Saccharomyces cerevisiae S288C: one gene and its partners. The protein of the gene in region 2 interacts with the protein of the main gene of each other region in a biochemical or structural test. Each region holds a gene or a part of one and is shown on either strand. Other genes may lie near its edges.

Region 1 (5,739 bases), on a different chromosome or scaffold from region 2:
CAAAATTAAAATCGGCTGATGAGAATAACAAGCCACCGAACTACAAAAGAATTTCTGACGATGATTTATATAGGCACTCTTCTCAGTATAGAATGTGGTCATACACTAAAGATCAACTTCAGGAGAAAAGGGTAGATACCAATGCCCGAGCGATTGCTTACATTGAGGAAAATTTATTAAAATTTAGAGAAGCACACAATTTAACAGAAGAAGAAATAAAAGTACTAGAAGCAAAGGCTATCCCTTTGACAATGGAAGAAGAACTCGATTTGGTGAATTTCTACGCAAAAAAAGTTCAGGTAATAGCACAGCATCTAAATTTGCCAACCGAAGTAGTGGCCACTGCGATATCCTTTTTTAGGCGTTTTTTCTTAGAAAATTCTGTTATGCAAATAGATCCTAAAAGTATTGTACATACTACTATCTTTCTAGCCTGCAAATCGGAGAACTATTTTATTAGCGTGGACTCGTTTGCTCAAAAGGCCAAATCTACTAGAGATAGTGTTCTCAAATTCGAGTTTAAGTTGTTAGAATCATTGAAATTTTCACTGTTGAACCATCATCCTTACAAACCGCTTCATGGGTTTTTCTTAGATATCCAGAACGTCCTTTATGGTAAGGTTGATTTAAATTACATGGGCCAAATATACGATAGGTGTAAGAAGAGAATAACTGCCGCATTATTAACCGATGTCGTATATTTCTACACTCCACCCCAAATAACACTAGCAACATTATTGATTGAGGATGAAGCCTTGGTCACAAGGTATTTAGAAACAAAATTTCCCAGCAGAGAAGGTAGCCAGGAATCAGTACCGGGAAACGAAAAAGAAGAACCACAAAATGATGCCAGTACAACTGAGAAAAACAAAGAGAAGTCCACAGAGAGCGAAGAATATTCGATAGACTCCGCGAAGTTACTAACCATAATACGCGAGTGTAAAAGTATTATTGAAGATTGTAAACCTCCGAGTACTGAAGAGGCCAAGAAAATTGCGGCAAAAAACTATTATTGTCAAAATCCATCAACACTGATTCAGAAATTAAAAAGGAAGTTGAATGGAGAAGATACTTCGTCCACCGTTGAGAAAAAGCAAAAAACATGAAACAGCTCTGTTACCGTAGGTTTCTGTTTTATATATATATATAGATTAAGATGCATAGGTATATAGACCGGCGCCATTTTATATTATTTCATGCCATGAATATATACTGCAAAAAATGTGACAATGAGTAAATTGCTAACTAGCGCTACAATGTGATTATTTTTGCTACACACGTTTATCCATTGAATATTCTATTTACAATGTATGGCGTATTGATACACATGTACCTATATATATCAACAAGTGCTTTTATCTTAACTTTTATGAAAGATTAATGATTGGTTTAATCATCAACGATACTCCGTTCCATGGTGTGACTTTTTTAAGGCTTGTCACTGGGGGAAAGCGACGGTTGGTTAAGGGATGAAAGAAATTAATAACCCACTTGCGATCATCGGTTATCCTGAAGTATTTTGTCGCAAATACCCAAGCTTAATGCCTCTTTTCTTATCACAGAAATAATATTATAATTTCTCCTTACGAATAATCTGAAGTTTCAAGCTGACCAGGAGAAGATGTAGATTCTGAAAGTTTCCCGCGATCATGCTTCATTGCTGGTGTTATGAAGCAAAAGCGAAACCGACCAGAAAAGAACAAAGCATTCTCGGTCTTGAGGTAGGTTCCTTCATACGTTTAACTTCTTAGAATAAAATCATGCATTTAACATTGTAGGAATTTTGGGTTTATCATCGCCTATATCTTTACGTTCATCACTGTCTGGTCCTTCTACGACTGTATTGGTGGAAGTTTTCAGTTTGTCCAGTTTTTCACCTTTACAAACTTGTTCGATTTCGTGGGCATCTAGAGTTTCATATTCAATAAGACCTTGCGCAAGTCTATGTAGCTCAACATTTTTCTTAGTTAATAGTCTTCTTGCTCTTTCCTCGGAGTCCTTCAAAAGTTCAATCACTTCATTATCAGCAATATCGCGAATCTTATTAGACCAAGATTCCCAATTTTCTGACAAGTTAACGGGACCTACATCATCACTCATACCATATTGAGTAACCATAGCCCTTGCTGTGCCGGTGGCGCTTTGCAAGTCAGACCCACAACCACTTGTGGTGTTATCTTTACCATAAATTAATTCTTCTGCAATTTTGCCCCCCATGCACACGTCCAGTCTGGCTTGACACTCCCTTTTGGTGATGTCGACCTTATCCATTTCTGGCAATTGAAAAGTAATACCCAATGCCCTACCTCTAGGCAATATCGTGGCCTTGTATAGCGGGGTAGCACCATTGGTGTATTTGGCCATAATGGCATGTCCAGCCTCGTGGAAAGCAGTGGCCTTTCTGGCTGCATCTGTTAAGACCATAGTCTTTCTCTCAGCACCCATCAATATCTTATCCTTAGCCCACTCGAAGTGGGACATATCAACGGAAACAGCATTTTTTTGACACGCGTAAACTGCTGCTTGGTTGACTAAATTTGCCAGCTCAGCGCCTGATAAACCGGGGGTACCACGCGCAATAATAGTTGGATCCACATTGTCTGCCAATGTAATCTTCTTCATGTGATGCTTTAAAATATCAGCACGACCACGAACATCTGGCAAATCCACATTCACAACCTTATCAAATCTACCTGGTCTAGTTAACGCCTTATCTAAAGCCTCAGGGAAATTTGTGGCACCAATAATAATAATTCCACTTGTTTGTGAGAAACCATCTAATTCGACCAATAACTGATTCAACGTTTGTTTGGCGTAAGCTTGGTCCTTTGGATTACGCTTACCACCGATGGCATCTAATTCATCAATAAAAATAATAGCTGGTGCACGAGAACGCGCTTGAGCAAACAAATCACGGATACGTTTAGCACCAACACCGACGTAAACTTCATCAAATTCAGAACCTGACATAAAGAAAAAATCTACACCAGCCTCTCCGGCAGTGGCCCTAGCCAACAAAGTTTTACCTGTACCAGGAGGTCCAGTCAACAGTACACCCTTTGGTAGTTTACCACCCAAGGACTCGTACTTAGTTGGATCTTTCAGGAAATCAACAATTTCTTCCAATTCCGCACGGGCCTCATCACAACCGCAGACATCATCAAATTTAACATTTGTCTTAGCTACATCAACTGATTTGTCGGCTACTTCTGACGACTTTAGTAGCGTTGTATTTTCTGTGATGTATTTAAAACCTTCAGAAAAAGAGTAGGTTAAGATACCGAAAACAAGCAGCCACTTTACCCATCTCGATACAACAGTAAAAGTTGATTCAGATACGACAACATGTAGTGGCTCTTTGCGAGATCCATAAAGCGGAGAATACATCGATGGAAAGTTACCATGATAACCTGACTGGTTTGATGAAGATGACGCCAATGATGGGTTAACTGCGCCAGCAGAGCTGGCTGTCAGTAGGTTTTGTCTAACGGCATCAGCCTCCGAGTGTCTGCCTATCCTCTGCAGGGCCTCCATGTACAGTTCCATGCATTCAGGCGATGACGCAATACCGGGGGTCTCAAACCTAGAGACCACGTATTGCGGGTAGTTTGATTGTAAGAGAAGTTTGTAAAAGGCTGCTTGTGCATCAGGACTCGTTAAGTCTTTATTGGCCTCTTGTTCTCTAGTTGCTAGCATAGCATGTGACACAGCTACGTTCGCTTGTTTGGTTTTATCATTAGTGTTCGATGGAGGTGGTGGTTGCGAATTGTCGATTGAAGATATCGTGGATTTATTGGATGCCTTTCCAGAGCTATCAGCTTCCTTCTTAGGAGGCATTTCACCGCTATTCTTTTCAGAATAAAAACGGTAGAACTTCTTTGATCTTAAGGCCCATTTTTTTTGAACTAACAAAGAAGCACCGATTTGAGGTAGCCTGGGAGCAAATATGCGTAAAACATTTGTCGTGACCGTGGGCGACACAAGTATTTTTGAAACGTTCATCTATCACGTCTCTGTTTTCGTTCTATCCACAATGTATTATAATTAAAAATTGCTTCAATAAAATCCTGTTTATCCTTTAAGCTGTGCTTGCTTTTTACTTATCAAAAACGCAAGGTAGAGATTTAACTCACTTCACCAACTCCGATATATTGCCTTTTCACTACCGCTACAGCGTACAGGAGCTACCACTCCTCGAAGAAAGAGGTACCATGTGATTCGAGATTACTAACCAACCGATGCTGATAGAAAAAGGTGGCGAAGATTGGGGGCCGTTCCTCCGGCGATCGCCACATATCGCATTTCACGAAAGATGAAAATAAAGATGCATCCGAAATCCCGACCAGAAACGTAAAAGGGTATATTGCAAAACAGTCGTTAAAAGCATATAGCATTTTGCATTAGCATCTGTGAGGCCTCGTCACTGGATTTACCCTATTGAAGAACGTATAATGGTTGATTTGGAGCAGGAATTTGCGCTCGGTGGGCGGTGTCTGGCATTCCATGGTCCTCTTATGTATGAAGCAAAGATCTTGAAAATATGGGATCCATCTTCGAAAATGTATACCAGCATTCCTAATGACAAGCCAGGTGGTAGTTCACAAGCAACTAAGGAAATAAAGCCACAAAAGCTGGGAGAAGATGAAAGCATTCCAGAAGAGATCATTAATGGGAAGTGTTTTTTCATACATTACCAAGGCTGGAAGTCGAGTTGGGATGAGTGGGTTGGATATGATAGGATACGGGCCTACAATGAAGAGAATATTGCCATGAAAAAAAGACTGGCGAACGAGGCGAAAGAAGCTAAGAAATCGTTACTGGAACAGCAGAAAAAAAAGAAGCTCTCCACTAGTCTGGGAGGGCCTAGTAATGGTGGAAAAAGAAAGGGAGACAGCCGCTCGAATGCTAGTATAAGTAAGAGCACTTCACAGAGTTTTTTAACATCTTCAGTGAGCGGCAGGAAAAGCGGAAGAAGTTCCGCTAATTCCCTCCATCCTGGCAGCTCTTTGCGCTCGTCATCCGACCAAAATGGGAATGATGACCGCAGAAGATCTTCTTCGCTATCGCCAAATATGCTACATCATATTGCCGGCTATCCAACCCCCAAGATTTCCCTTCAAATTCCCATAAAATTGAAGAGCGTGTTAGTCGACGATTGGGAATACGTAACGAAGGACAAAAAAATTTGCAGACTACCCGCTGATGTGACGGTAGAGATGGTACTGAATAAATACGAACATGAAGTGAGTCAAGAATTGGAATCGCCAGGGTCCCAGTCACAGTTGAGCGAATACTGTGCCGGTCTCAAGTTGTATTTTGACAAGTGCCTGGGTAATATGCTTTTATATAGGTTGGAACGGCTGCAATATGACGAACTTCTGAAAAAATCATCGAAGGATCAAAAGCCACTAGTACCAATTAGAATTTATGGGGCTATCCATCTGTTAAGGTTGATAAGTGTTTTACCAGAGCTGATCTCGTCTACTACAATGGATCTACAAAGCTGTCAGCTTTTAATCAAACAAACCGAAGACTTCTTGGTTTGGTTGTTGATGCATGTGGACGAATACTTCAATGACAAGGATCCAAATAGAAGTGACGATGCTCTGTATGTAAATACGTCTAGCCAATACGAAGGAGTGGCTTTAGGTATGTGAGACGTTTATATTCTAGCTTGGGATTATTTCTAGTATTTAGTTCTTCCGTATTTATGCAATAACTCTTCACAGAATATCTCGT
Region 2 (6,218 bases):
ACGAACTTCATAGTTTGGGTATCGGTAGCGCAGGTTCGTTTCACGTAGATTGGTTTGTTTGTCTTATTCAAGCTCAAAAATATCTTCTCAAAATATTTTAGACCCGCTTCTGCATCGCCGACACGTCCCTGGTAATCAGGAAAGTACTTTCTTATGGGCATGCTTTTTACCTTTTCCTCGAACAAATCAATTTTATTTAAAAACAAAATAAACGGTGTATCTTTGAACCACTTAGAGTTCAATAACGTGTCAAATAGCATTATTGATTCATGCATTCTGTTCACTCTTTCATCCTCAAACAACATCTGGTCGTATTCACTCATTGCTAAAACAAATAAAACTGCTGTAATTCCTTCGAAACAATGAATCCACTTCTTACGTTCAGAACGCTGCCCACCAGCGTCGAGAACCTTGAATTTGGACGAGCCGATGTTAAATTCGGTTTCTGTAATGCCTGTAGTCTTTATACGGCCCTTCAAAATGTCTTCATCCGTACAGACATAATTCGGACTAGCAAATTTCTCAATGTTATCAAAGTAGTATGCAGCTGAGCCCTCCAATTGAAACTCATTAGAACGTGCAAAACACTGCTTTATACCTTTGTCGTTATTCCAAAGTTGCTTTATTGCCTTAGCAATGTCTTCGTGAATAAGATTTCGTCTATTTTGTCCTTGAATTTCCCTTGATGTTTTTCTAACAAACATCTGGTCATCGCCTTCTTGGTTCAAGTCCTTGCAAATATCCTGTAGGTTAATTCTACTACTGTTGTTTCTATCAGCATCCTCATTTTGCGTCACCGTTTCAGCATCTCTGTCAGTGTCACTTTTGACATTAGAAATATTTCCGTCTTCATCGAAAGCAGCTTTTGCTCGTCCGGTACTCTGAACACGCCTCCTAGTTTCATACCTTTCTGAGTACTTCAGTACATAATCATTTAGAAAATCAGAACCACCGGCAACACTGGCGTTGATATAATCTAAAGCTTTAGCCTTTAGCAGTATTCTCTTGCATGCAAACAAATCTTTATTGTTGATCGGATCATCACAGTCAAGTTGAATACCTAGTTTTCTGGCCTGAATAATCAAAATTTTCATTGATTGTATGGCATCTGCCCATATCACTTGAGCATACTGTAACCTTTCTTGATGGGAGAAACCGCCTTGATGTAATAATTTTAATTGTTTTAAAACCGTTGATTTACCTGACTCACCGGCACCTAATAGTAACAGTTTTATTTCATTCTTGTCACGTTGTTTCTCCAGCTGCAACGATTGCTCGATGACATCATTGGCTCTTTTGTTCTGTAGAAAAGGATCACTTTCGTCTCCTATTGTTTGCGTACTCACTGTACACCCCATTATTTCCTACCTTAATATATCAATTTATACACCTCTGGATTATTGATGTGATGCTAAAATACCAATTTACAGTATGAATAGCTTCTACTCAGTTTGGTCTTAGAAATGGTCAAAAATGTTAGAAACGGAGTGACAAGAAAAAATGAATAACAGATCAAAAGATTACGAATAATATAAAACGTAAAGAAATTGGTGGAATTCTACTATCCTCTTCATTTTAGACTATTTTTTAATATTTCCCTTTAAGGAAAACAATATGTAACAAAAAAATTTCTGCTCTCCATTTAATTGCATTTCTACAAGGAAGAATACGCAGAAGGACGCGCAGAGCCCTAAATTGATGTGCTTTTTAACATGCTGAGCCGAGTGCGTTTCGGTGAAATAACACGAAGATGCGTTTCAAATTGAAACTAGTCAGTGTTATCTGCATGAAAAGGGAATATCGTTATGCATTCAGTTTTCCAATAGAGACATTTTTTTTTTTTTAGATTCGGCTTGCTTTATCCACCTATGATCTTGTTTTCAAACAACATGTGCCATGTAAGATAAAAAGGTAAAGATGAAGTACAGAAAAGAGTATAATGTTACTTGTATATACAGGATATGAATCAATAATACTAATTATAACGTTGAGTCGAGTAAAACAGCTTATGGATTTCTTTTCTTATTTTCGTCTTATCATTACTGCTTTAATGCACATTTCTAAAACTTACCGGCTGCGTTAAATGATTGGCCCATTTTCTGCATGTTTTCACCGACTTGAACATTGGTCTCAAAATATTTGGCCACACATCTGTCTAGGCACGAAGATTCATTCTTATTCAGCTCACCCTCGGAATAAGAAGTATTGATACATTTTTTATAACAGTTATTAACCAATTTATTGAACATGTCTGTGACCAAATCTAGTTCAGCTTCCGCAGCTTGAATCTTTTGTTGAGATGATAATTGAGGCTGACCACCACCGAAACCTAAGAAAGACATGTTTTTCTAAGTATGATAGTTCCTTCTTTTGCTTGTTTATCTGTTAAAAGACATGAGAGGGGAACGAGGAGAGTAATAGTTCTTTAGAGAGCTTGCTCTTGTACGTTCACTGCCAGCTCTCTCGCTGAAAAAATTAAAGAAAAAAAATGTCCGATAGCTTCAGAGGGTGATCATCAGCTACGAATTGGGAAATCAATGCAAAAAATGCTTCCAATCGGATTTGAACCGATGATCTCCACATTACTAGTGTGGCGCCTTACCAACTTGGCCATAGAAGCTCTAATAGTGATAGGACCCAGATTATATTTAGTGACTTGTTGATAAATGTTTTAAAATATTACCTTCGTGTCGTTATCGTTACTGAGGAAAGATTTGCAAAAAATAATTACATACTTGGGCTCTTCTGAACGAACAAGTTAACCAAAAAGGTGTATATTACTTCCTCTTGTTTTGTTTCCGGGCTAATGCTTACCTTTCCTTTGTTTCCAATGTTCTTCTTTAACACCAAAACATACTATTTGAGAAATGGGTGAATGTTGAGATAATTGTTGGGATTCCATTTTTGATAAAGGCTATAATATTAGGTATACAGAATATACTAGAAGTTCTCCTCGAGGATATAGGAATCCTCAAAATGGAATCTATATTTCTATTTACTAATATCACGATTATTCCTCATTCCGTTTTATATGTTTCATTATCCTATTACATTATCAATCCTTGCACTTCAGCTTCCTCTAACATCGATGACAGCTTCTCATAACTTATGTCATCATCTTAACACCGTATATGATAATATATTGATAATATAACTATTAGTTGATAGACGATAGTGGATTTTTATTCCAACACTATTTGAGGTTTGGCAACTGTTGAAATTATTGTTAGGACATTGTTAAAAAAGGTTCTTTTATTAGGTCTACAAAAACAAAAAAAGTTTTTTCACGAGGACAGCGTGAATCACAAAGGTGAGGTCAATAGTTTTACATAATAATAAATAACGTTTTTTTTTTCTTCCTTTCATGTGTTGCCTTTCTTTATCCAATTACATTGTCAGCCCTTACATTTCAGTGCCTATTGAATTTGTTGACCACTTCCCATCAGCAATACCATCCTCTTACGCAATATATGATAATATACCCGCGACATAAATATTAGGTTAAAAACAGACGGCAAAATGTGCCTTGGGCGGCAAAATCATGAGAAGCGCACATGTCGTGATATCAATAGCACGGAATTCCAGAAGAGAGAAAATACCAGCACTTATAACAAATGATCACAGTAAGCGTGAAAAAGAAGAGCCTGTTGCTACAAAGAACATTGAAATGATAAAATAGTGAAAGAATTCCAATGAATGGGAATATGGATGGCATTTTGGCAAGAAATTGGGCGGTAAATTTTCGTAAAGCTGATTGATGGTCAGCAAAACTCTCTTCAGAAGAACCAGAGAAATGGGCCAATTCTCACGAAGAAAATTCTTATAGTGTGTAAGCATAGGTAACGATCACGATACCATTAATTACCTGCAGTCAAGAACGAGATTTATTAACTGAAGAAAAAAAACAGACCATTTCCCACAAAAATTGTCGACGTTTAACTTGTGACTGATAGAAAGTTATAAAGTAAGCTATTAATGGAGGTTCTGAACGCATGACATGCTCCTCTAAGGGCTAGAATAGAGATTATAATGTTATTTGAAGATTGAAAGTCTGTTACCCTTCTTAGAGTCATCCATTCGAACGAAGAGTATCTTTTTTTAGAATTCTTATCATTTTTTTTTTCTCTTCACATTCCAATACGGGCAAAAAGCGAGAAAAACGATGATTAATAAATGAAAAACAGTGATTAATCATCCGACAAACAGACAAATGCAAGAGAGCAAAAAGTTGGGGAAGTAAGGAAATCCATTATCATGCCTATCTTATCACTATCTTCAACACGGAACAGCGTGTTAACAAGGATATATGACTACCTTAAAGCATTAGTGCAGCAAGTGATTGTGCCCAATGTGGAAGACGACAAATCTTCGAAAAGTACTCCTTTCGAAAAGTTAGAACCTGCGAAACAGAACCATCCACAGAAAGACTGCTGTGCTACCGAAAAGGACGATCTGGTTGACGTGAGCGAATTATTTCCCAAACAGAACAACAAACAATTGAGTCTAACATCAAAATCTTCAGTTGTACCCTGTGCTTTAAATTTGGATAACCTAGAAACACCTTTCTCAATTAAAATTGATAATAATGGTGCAGTCACTACACAGTTGAACTTGGACGAACCGATTTTACGGGGCCCTAGCCGCGGCGAGCCAGCAAAGTTACAGAATGACTTGATAAGTTCTCCCCCGCTAGAGGAATCCTATATCAATAATGACCAGTACAAAGCTCTTTTCCCCTCTAATTTCCTTCCAATCACGCCCGTAAGTAGCGTAATCACTCCTGCATCGAAGAAAAGTATTGATGAATCTCCCCTATCCGATGAGGTTCAAGGAATTGCTGATGAGTCATCCGAAACTTTACCATATATATGTCACTATTGCGATGCTAGGTTCCGAATCAGAGGTTACTTAACACGACACATAAAAAAGCATGCGAAAAGGAAGGCCTATCACTGTCCATTTTTTGATAATAGCATTTCGCAAGAATTGCGATGCCATACTTCTGGGGGGTTTAGCAGAAGAGATACCTACAAAACACATTTGAAATCTAGACATTTCACTTACCCAGAAGGTGTTAAGCCTCAGGACCGTAATAAATCACCTGGAGTGTGCACTCAATGTGGGGAACACTTTAGCACTAGTGAGAGCTGGGTGGAAAACCACATTGAGGCTGGGAGTTGCAAAGGTTTACCAGAAGGCTATTCAGAGGGAATACGAGAGAAGAAAAAGACGTCTAAAATGAAAATGATAAAGACTTCGGATGGCCAAACAAGGTTCATCTCATCCGACGAAAGTGTTTCCGAACCAGCTTTACAAAATAAGAATTGTATAGAAGCGACAGTAATGCAGTCCAAGGAACGCCCTAATGACAAGATCATACCAACCAAAACCGAAAAAAACGATTTTGGAATAGGCACTCAATGGTTTGAACGCAAACAAATATCAAGACCTACACAAACTACACAATCAAGAGGACCTACAGAAGTCCAAAATCTCAAAGAGTGGTCAATAATATCTCCCCCAATTTTGTCACCCCAAAATGCATCTTCTGTACCACAAGAGTATCAATCATCAAGATACACATTGCATATGGATTCTCCAGCATTATCCTCTGCCTCCTCAGCGCTATCTCCACTTTCAGGCGATCCAATAACAACTACAGAAACAAATAAGTCATACCCATTGGATTCAGAGCAATCGTTGTTGGAGCCAGACAAAACCGAGGAGGACGCAATCAATCAGTCAAAGGAAAGCAATATGATTTCCATTAATGAGATGTTACAGAAGCAAATGGACTTTGAACTTCTGGGTGAGAATCATTTGAAGGAGACTCAAGATTATCTGGCCCTTTACAAAAAAGCTTATGGGATAGAATTTTAAGGTTAATTCAGGTATTATTTTTATGGCGGTTTCAGGTATTTTACGTAATATTATTATTATATCATTTTTGTAGCAATATATTATTTTTAGCGGTGCTTTATAAAACAATGGATACTAAGGATGGTTCAATTCACTCATCATTTGGATTTATCACTATAAAAAGCAGTAATGAATCTTATATACATTTATTTCAGTGAATCCATATTTAAGAGAGCTTCCTCAGTGACCCCTCCCCAAAACTCCTCTCCTCCTGGGCCCTCTCTTGATTAATTTAAATTGCAAAAAGATTTACAAGTTTGCGAAAAGACTGCTTTATTTCCGCTTGGCCTGTGAGCTGT
Region 3 (4,581 bases), on a different chromosome or scaffold from region 2:
TTTGATCCTTTTAAAAAAAACTGAATAATCCATCTAGTTAAAGTTCGCCCTTAAAAACCTCGAGCATGAAAAAAAGAAGAGCTGCTGAACTACATAAAGAAAAACATATGCAATAGCTAAGGGCACGTCCTTCTGTCTCGCAATATGAAAATACAACTTGTAAGATGGCATTGTTCTCGCAATGCTCTTTGGAATCGTGCTTTCTACTCTACGAGAAAGGCCACTAAGAACGCTTCGTCGGCGACTCCAGCTACTATGACATCCATGGTATCTCAGAGGCAAGATCTTTTCATGACAGATCCACTATCTCCTGGATCCATGTTCTTTCTTCCAAATGGTGCTAAGATTTTCAACAAATTGATAGAGTTTATGAAGTTACAACAAAAGTTCAAATTTGGTTTTAATGAAGTTGTGACGCCTTTGATTTACAAAAAGACTCTTTGGGAAAAGTCTGGTCACTGGGAAAATTATGCTGATGACATGTTTAAGGTGGAAACTACGGATGAAGAAAAGGAGGAATACGGTTTAAAACCGATGAATTGCCCAGGCCATTGTCTGATCTTCGGTAAAAAGGATAGATCGTATAACGAACTTCCCCTACGCTTCTCTGATTTTTCACCACTACATAGAAATGAAGCTTCTGGTGCACTGTCGGGATTGACTAGACTAAGGAAGTTCCATCAAGACGATGGTCATATCTTTTGCACTCCTTCCCAAGTGAAATCAGAAATTTTCAACTCTTTAAAATTAATCGACATAGTTTACAACAAAATTTTCCCCTTTGTTAAAGGAGGTTCTGGAGCAGAGAGCAATTATTTTATAAACTTTTCTACAAGACCGGATCACTTCATTGGAGACCTCAAAGTTTGGAATCATGCTGAGCAAGTACTCAAGGAAATCTTGGAAGAATCAGGCAAACCGTGGAAACTGAACCCTGGTGATGGTGCGTTCTATGGTCCAAAGTTGGATATAATGGTTACGGACCATTTACGCAAAACTCATCAAGTCGCTACTATTCAGTTGGACTTTCAGCTACCTGAGAGGTTCGATTTGAAATTCAAGGATCAAGACAACTCGTACAAGAGGCCAATTATGATTCATAGAGCTACTTTTGGTTCTATCGAAAGATTTATGGCTTTACTGATAGATTCTAATGAGGGCCGTTGGCCGTTTTGGTTGAATCCTTACCAAGCTGTAATTATTCCCGTCAATACGAAAAATGTGCAACAGCTAGACATGTGCACTGCCTTGCAGAAAAAACTACGTAATGAACTGGAAGCCGACGACATGGAACCAGTTCCTTTAAATGATTGGCATTTCAATGTTGATCTCGACATAAGAAACGAACCCGTAGGGTATAGGATCAAGTCGGCCATTTTGAAAAACTATTCCTATTTAATTATCGTGGGTGATGAGGAAGTACAGTTACAGAAATACAACATTCGAGAACGTGATAATAGAAAGAGTTTCGAGAAACTTACAATGTCTCAAATTTGGGAAAAATTTATTGAGCTGGAAAAAAACTACAAGTAACTTAAAATATATGACAAACTTGCCCTGTAAATAAAAGGATACGATTTGATGTATAGCTGGATTCATACAGAGACTAGACTCATCCGCCCCACAGATGCATTAATTCATGTATATTTCACATATTATACCATATGTAGTCATTAAACTAAGATAATATTACTGTATTTACATGTATCATCCTTTATACTTTTATACTTTTTACGTTCGGGAGATTTTCAGGAGATTTTAAGGTTTGGATTCCTCATTCAATGGTTCTTTTTTCACATCTGATTGCTCTGCTTTTTTCGCAGCATTTTCCTTTGCGCTTGAAACATTTGGCGCTGATTCTATTGTGTTGACCTTTACTTTGTCTTGAGGTTCCTCATCATCAGATGTTTCCTTTAGTTGTTCTGCATAATGCTCGGGGTATTTTCTGAAACAGTCTTGCATATGTTGAAACTTTTCAACACAGTCGATACCTTTTGGTTCAGCTTCAGAATAGACGAAGCAAGAAAATGCAGATTTGAACTCTTCACCACAGGGTCCATGGGCCATACCTCCCAAGCAAGGACAGTCCCAATTTATCTCACCAGTGTCTGGGTTATAAGCACCTTCGTGTTGAACCTCTTCTTCAGTAGGACCCATTTGCTTTTCCTCTTGTTTTCTTAGTTCTTCTTTCTCTTCATCGCTAGATTCAGATTGCTTAGCTGAATTTTCCGAGTCACTTACAGTTTTTTTTGAGGATTCTTCTTCTCCATTATTATCTTCAGTAGTTGTCTTGTCATCAGATTGTCCCTGTTGCGATTTTTCATCATCTGAATGTTCTGGATCTTTTTTTTCAGAAGATCCAGCATTGTTGTCTAGTGTTTTGTCACTAGTATTTTCTTCCGAGTTCTCAGAACTTATGTTTTCATCCTTTTGATTGTTAGCGGTGGCATTGTCTTCATTGGATTGCTCATCATCTTTGGTTGATACCTTTGATTCATCAGTATCTTTATCTTCGGAAGACTTGTTGTCTTCTTCTGCTAGAACAACCAATTCACCATCTTCAGCTACTTTTGAAGCACCAATTTTATCACCCCCTAATTGAGGGCCAGCTTCAGTTTCATCGTTTTTGCTGTCGTTGTCATCTCCATTTTCATCGCTTTTGCTGTTGTTGTCATCTTCATTTTCTGGTGATTGCTCACCACCACTGGAAAGCTCTTCCTCTGCGGTTTTATCGGATTCTACCTTCCTTGAGGCGAAAAGAGGCTTCCTATTAGGAGCAATAAAATATAAAGCACCAGCCATAGAAAGAATCCCCATTATAAAGCCCGCTGTTTTTTCCTGATTGGAGTTCCTACCGAACTGAGGGGAGGACGCCATGAGACGTCTTGTTTGGTGTCGGCATAACCCCCTTGCCACTTGAATTGACGGCCTGTTTCTGCACGCATTCCTGACGACTAAGTTGCGAAGCATTTTACTGATAATATACACTCTTTGGATCGAGCCTACTTCCAGTTGGTAATTGGTGTTCCACAATTTCAGCATTATATGTTTTTAAACCAAAATTCGGCTCCTTTTCCCTTTTTTTCTTATTGGGTGGCGTGCCGTACAGAACGATTGGCTTGGTGTGAAATCAAGAGCAAGCACAATAGATATCAACATGAACAATATACAAAAGTCTCTGGCACAGTTTGACTGCGTTAGACCAGGCTAGGGCATTTCTGAAGCTTTACGTATCACTAGAGAAGTTATTTTGGCAATGAGAATCTACTACATCGGTGTATTTCGCTCTGGAGGAGAAAAGGCTCTAGAGTTGAGTGAAGTTAAAGACTTGTCACAATTTGGTTTCTTTGAAAGGTCTAGTGTTGGCCAGTTTATGACTTTTTTTGCTGAAACGGTCGCTTCTAGAACTGGTGCAGGACAAAGACAAAGTATAGAAGAAGGCAACTATATTGGCCACGTTTATGCCAGGAGTGAGGGCATATGTGGTGTTTTGATCACCGACAAAGAATATCCTGTCAGACCAGCATACACACTATTAAACAAAATATTGGATGAATATTTAGTCGCACATCCTAAGGAAGAGTGGGCAGATGTGACTGAGACCAATGATGCATTGAAAATGAAGCAACTGGACACTTACATTAGCAAATATCAAGATCCTTCACAGGCTGACGCTATCATGAAAGTTCAACAAGAACTGGATGAGACGAAAATCGTTTTGCACAAAACGATTGAGAATGTTTTACAAAGAGGTGAAAAGTTGGATAATTTGGTGGACAAATCGGAGTCATTAACGGCAAGTTCCAAAATGTTTTATAAGCAAGCTAAAAAATCCAATTCGTGTTGCATCATCATGTAGATGCATCCACACACTATTTTCAGCATAGTGTGGCTTTTCATCTGCTTTATGTAATTTAGAAAGCCAATGACAGCAGCAAGGGAAACAAAAATCTTTTAAATCAAATTAATTGTTTAAATAATATACTATGTAAGCATCGATTCTCCTAACTATTATAACCAAAGGTTGATTTGAAGCCATTGGCATTGTATTAGAATTGATTTGTTTCTTCAGTGTAAAAAAGTTAAAAATAAGCGACCCCAGTGAGGGTTGAACTCACGATCTTGCGATTAACAGTCGCACGCCTTAACCAACTTGGCCATGGAGTCTAATTGCTATATTTTTCTTTTGAAAACAAGATATATAAATAATGCTTGAGCTGGAGCATTTACGTTGTAAATGTATAATTAGTGTAAGAAACCGCTGGGCCCTATTTGTTGATGAAGTATTTACTTAAATGTAACAGAATATACTGGAAGTCCCCCCTCGGGCACATGGAAATTCACTAAAAGGAATTGGTAATGCATATGATATTACTACCGTTTCTCATTTCACTTTATATGCTTTCAGTGATTGTGTTACTACGTGACAGTTCTTACAATTCAGCGCCGTTACTCTCTATGAGTGCTCTCATTATTTATATCATATTCTTACACTTCATACAATTATATATACTCGTACCATGGATATTAGAGGATAGTTGGTTTTTGTTTAAACTAATTCTATGTAACCTCGATGGCATG

What was found.
Region 1: of the proteins of TIM10 (region 2) and YME1, one has a biochemical effect on the other in vitro, tested with the Saccharomyces cerevisiae proteins (2 studies listed by BioGRID, with this or other methods).
Region 3: the proteins of TIM10 (region 2) and MIA40 form a complex in vitro, tested with the Saccharomyces cerevisiae proteins (4 studies listed by BioGRID, with this or other methods).

The regions. Positions count from the first base shown.
Region 1 is NC_001148.4:608,744-614,482, reverse strand, and holds YME1 (i-AAA protease YME1), read right to left. Parts: upstream 4,003-5,739; coding exon 1,759-4,002; downstream 1-1,758. Other genes in the region: TFIIH complex kinase subunit CCL1, read left to right, coding at 1-1,106; EAF3 (Eaf3p), read left to right, coding at 4,452-5,657. UniProt on the Saccharomyces cerevisiae protein: Catalytic subunit of the mitochondrial inner membrane i-AAA protease supercomplex required for mitochondrial inner membrane protein turnover. The protease is probably ATP-dependent. Important to maintain the integrity of the mitochondrial compartment.
Region 2 is NC_001140.6:113,560-119,777, forward strand, and holds TIM10 (protein transporter TIM10), read right to left. Parts: upstream 2,343-6,218; coding exon 2,061-2,342; downstream 1-2,060. Other genes in the region: GPA1 (guanine nucleotide-binding protein subunit alpha), read right to left, coding at 1-1,358; STP2 (Stp2p), read left to right, coding at 4,255-5,880. UniProt on the Saccharomyces cerevisiae protein: Mitochondrial intermembrane chaperone that participates in the import and insertion of multi-pass transmembrane proteins into the mitochondrial inner membrane.
Region 3 is NC_001143.9:74,210-78,790, reverse strand, and holds MIA40 (Mia40p), read right to left. Parts: upstream 2,971-4,581; coding exon 1,759-2,970; downstream 1-1,758. Other genes in the region: threonine--tRNA ligase MST1, read left to right, coding at 145-1,533; palmitoyltransferase YKT6, read left to right, coding at 3,257-3,859. UniProt on the Saccharomyces cerevisiae protein: Required for the import and folding of small cysteine-containing proteins (small Tim) in the mitochondrial intermembrane space (IMS). Forms a redox cycle with ERV1 that involves a disulfide relay system.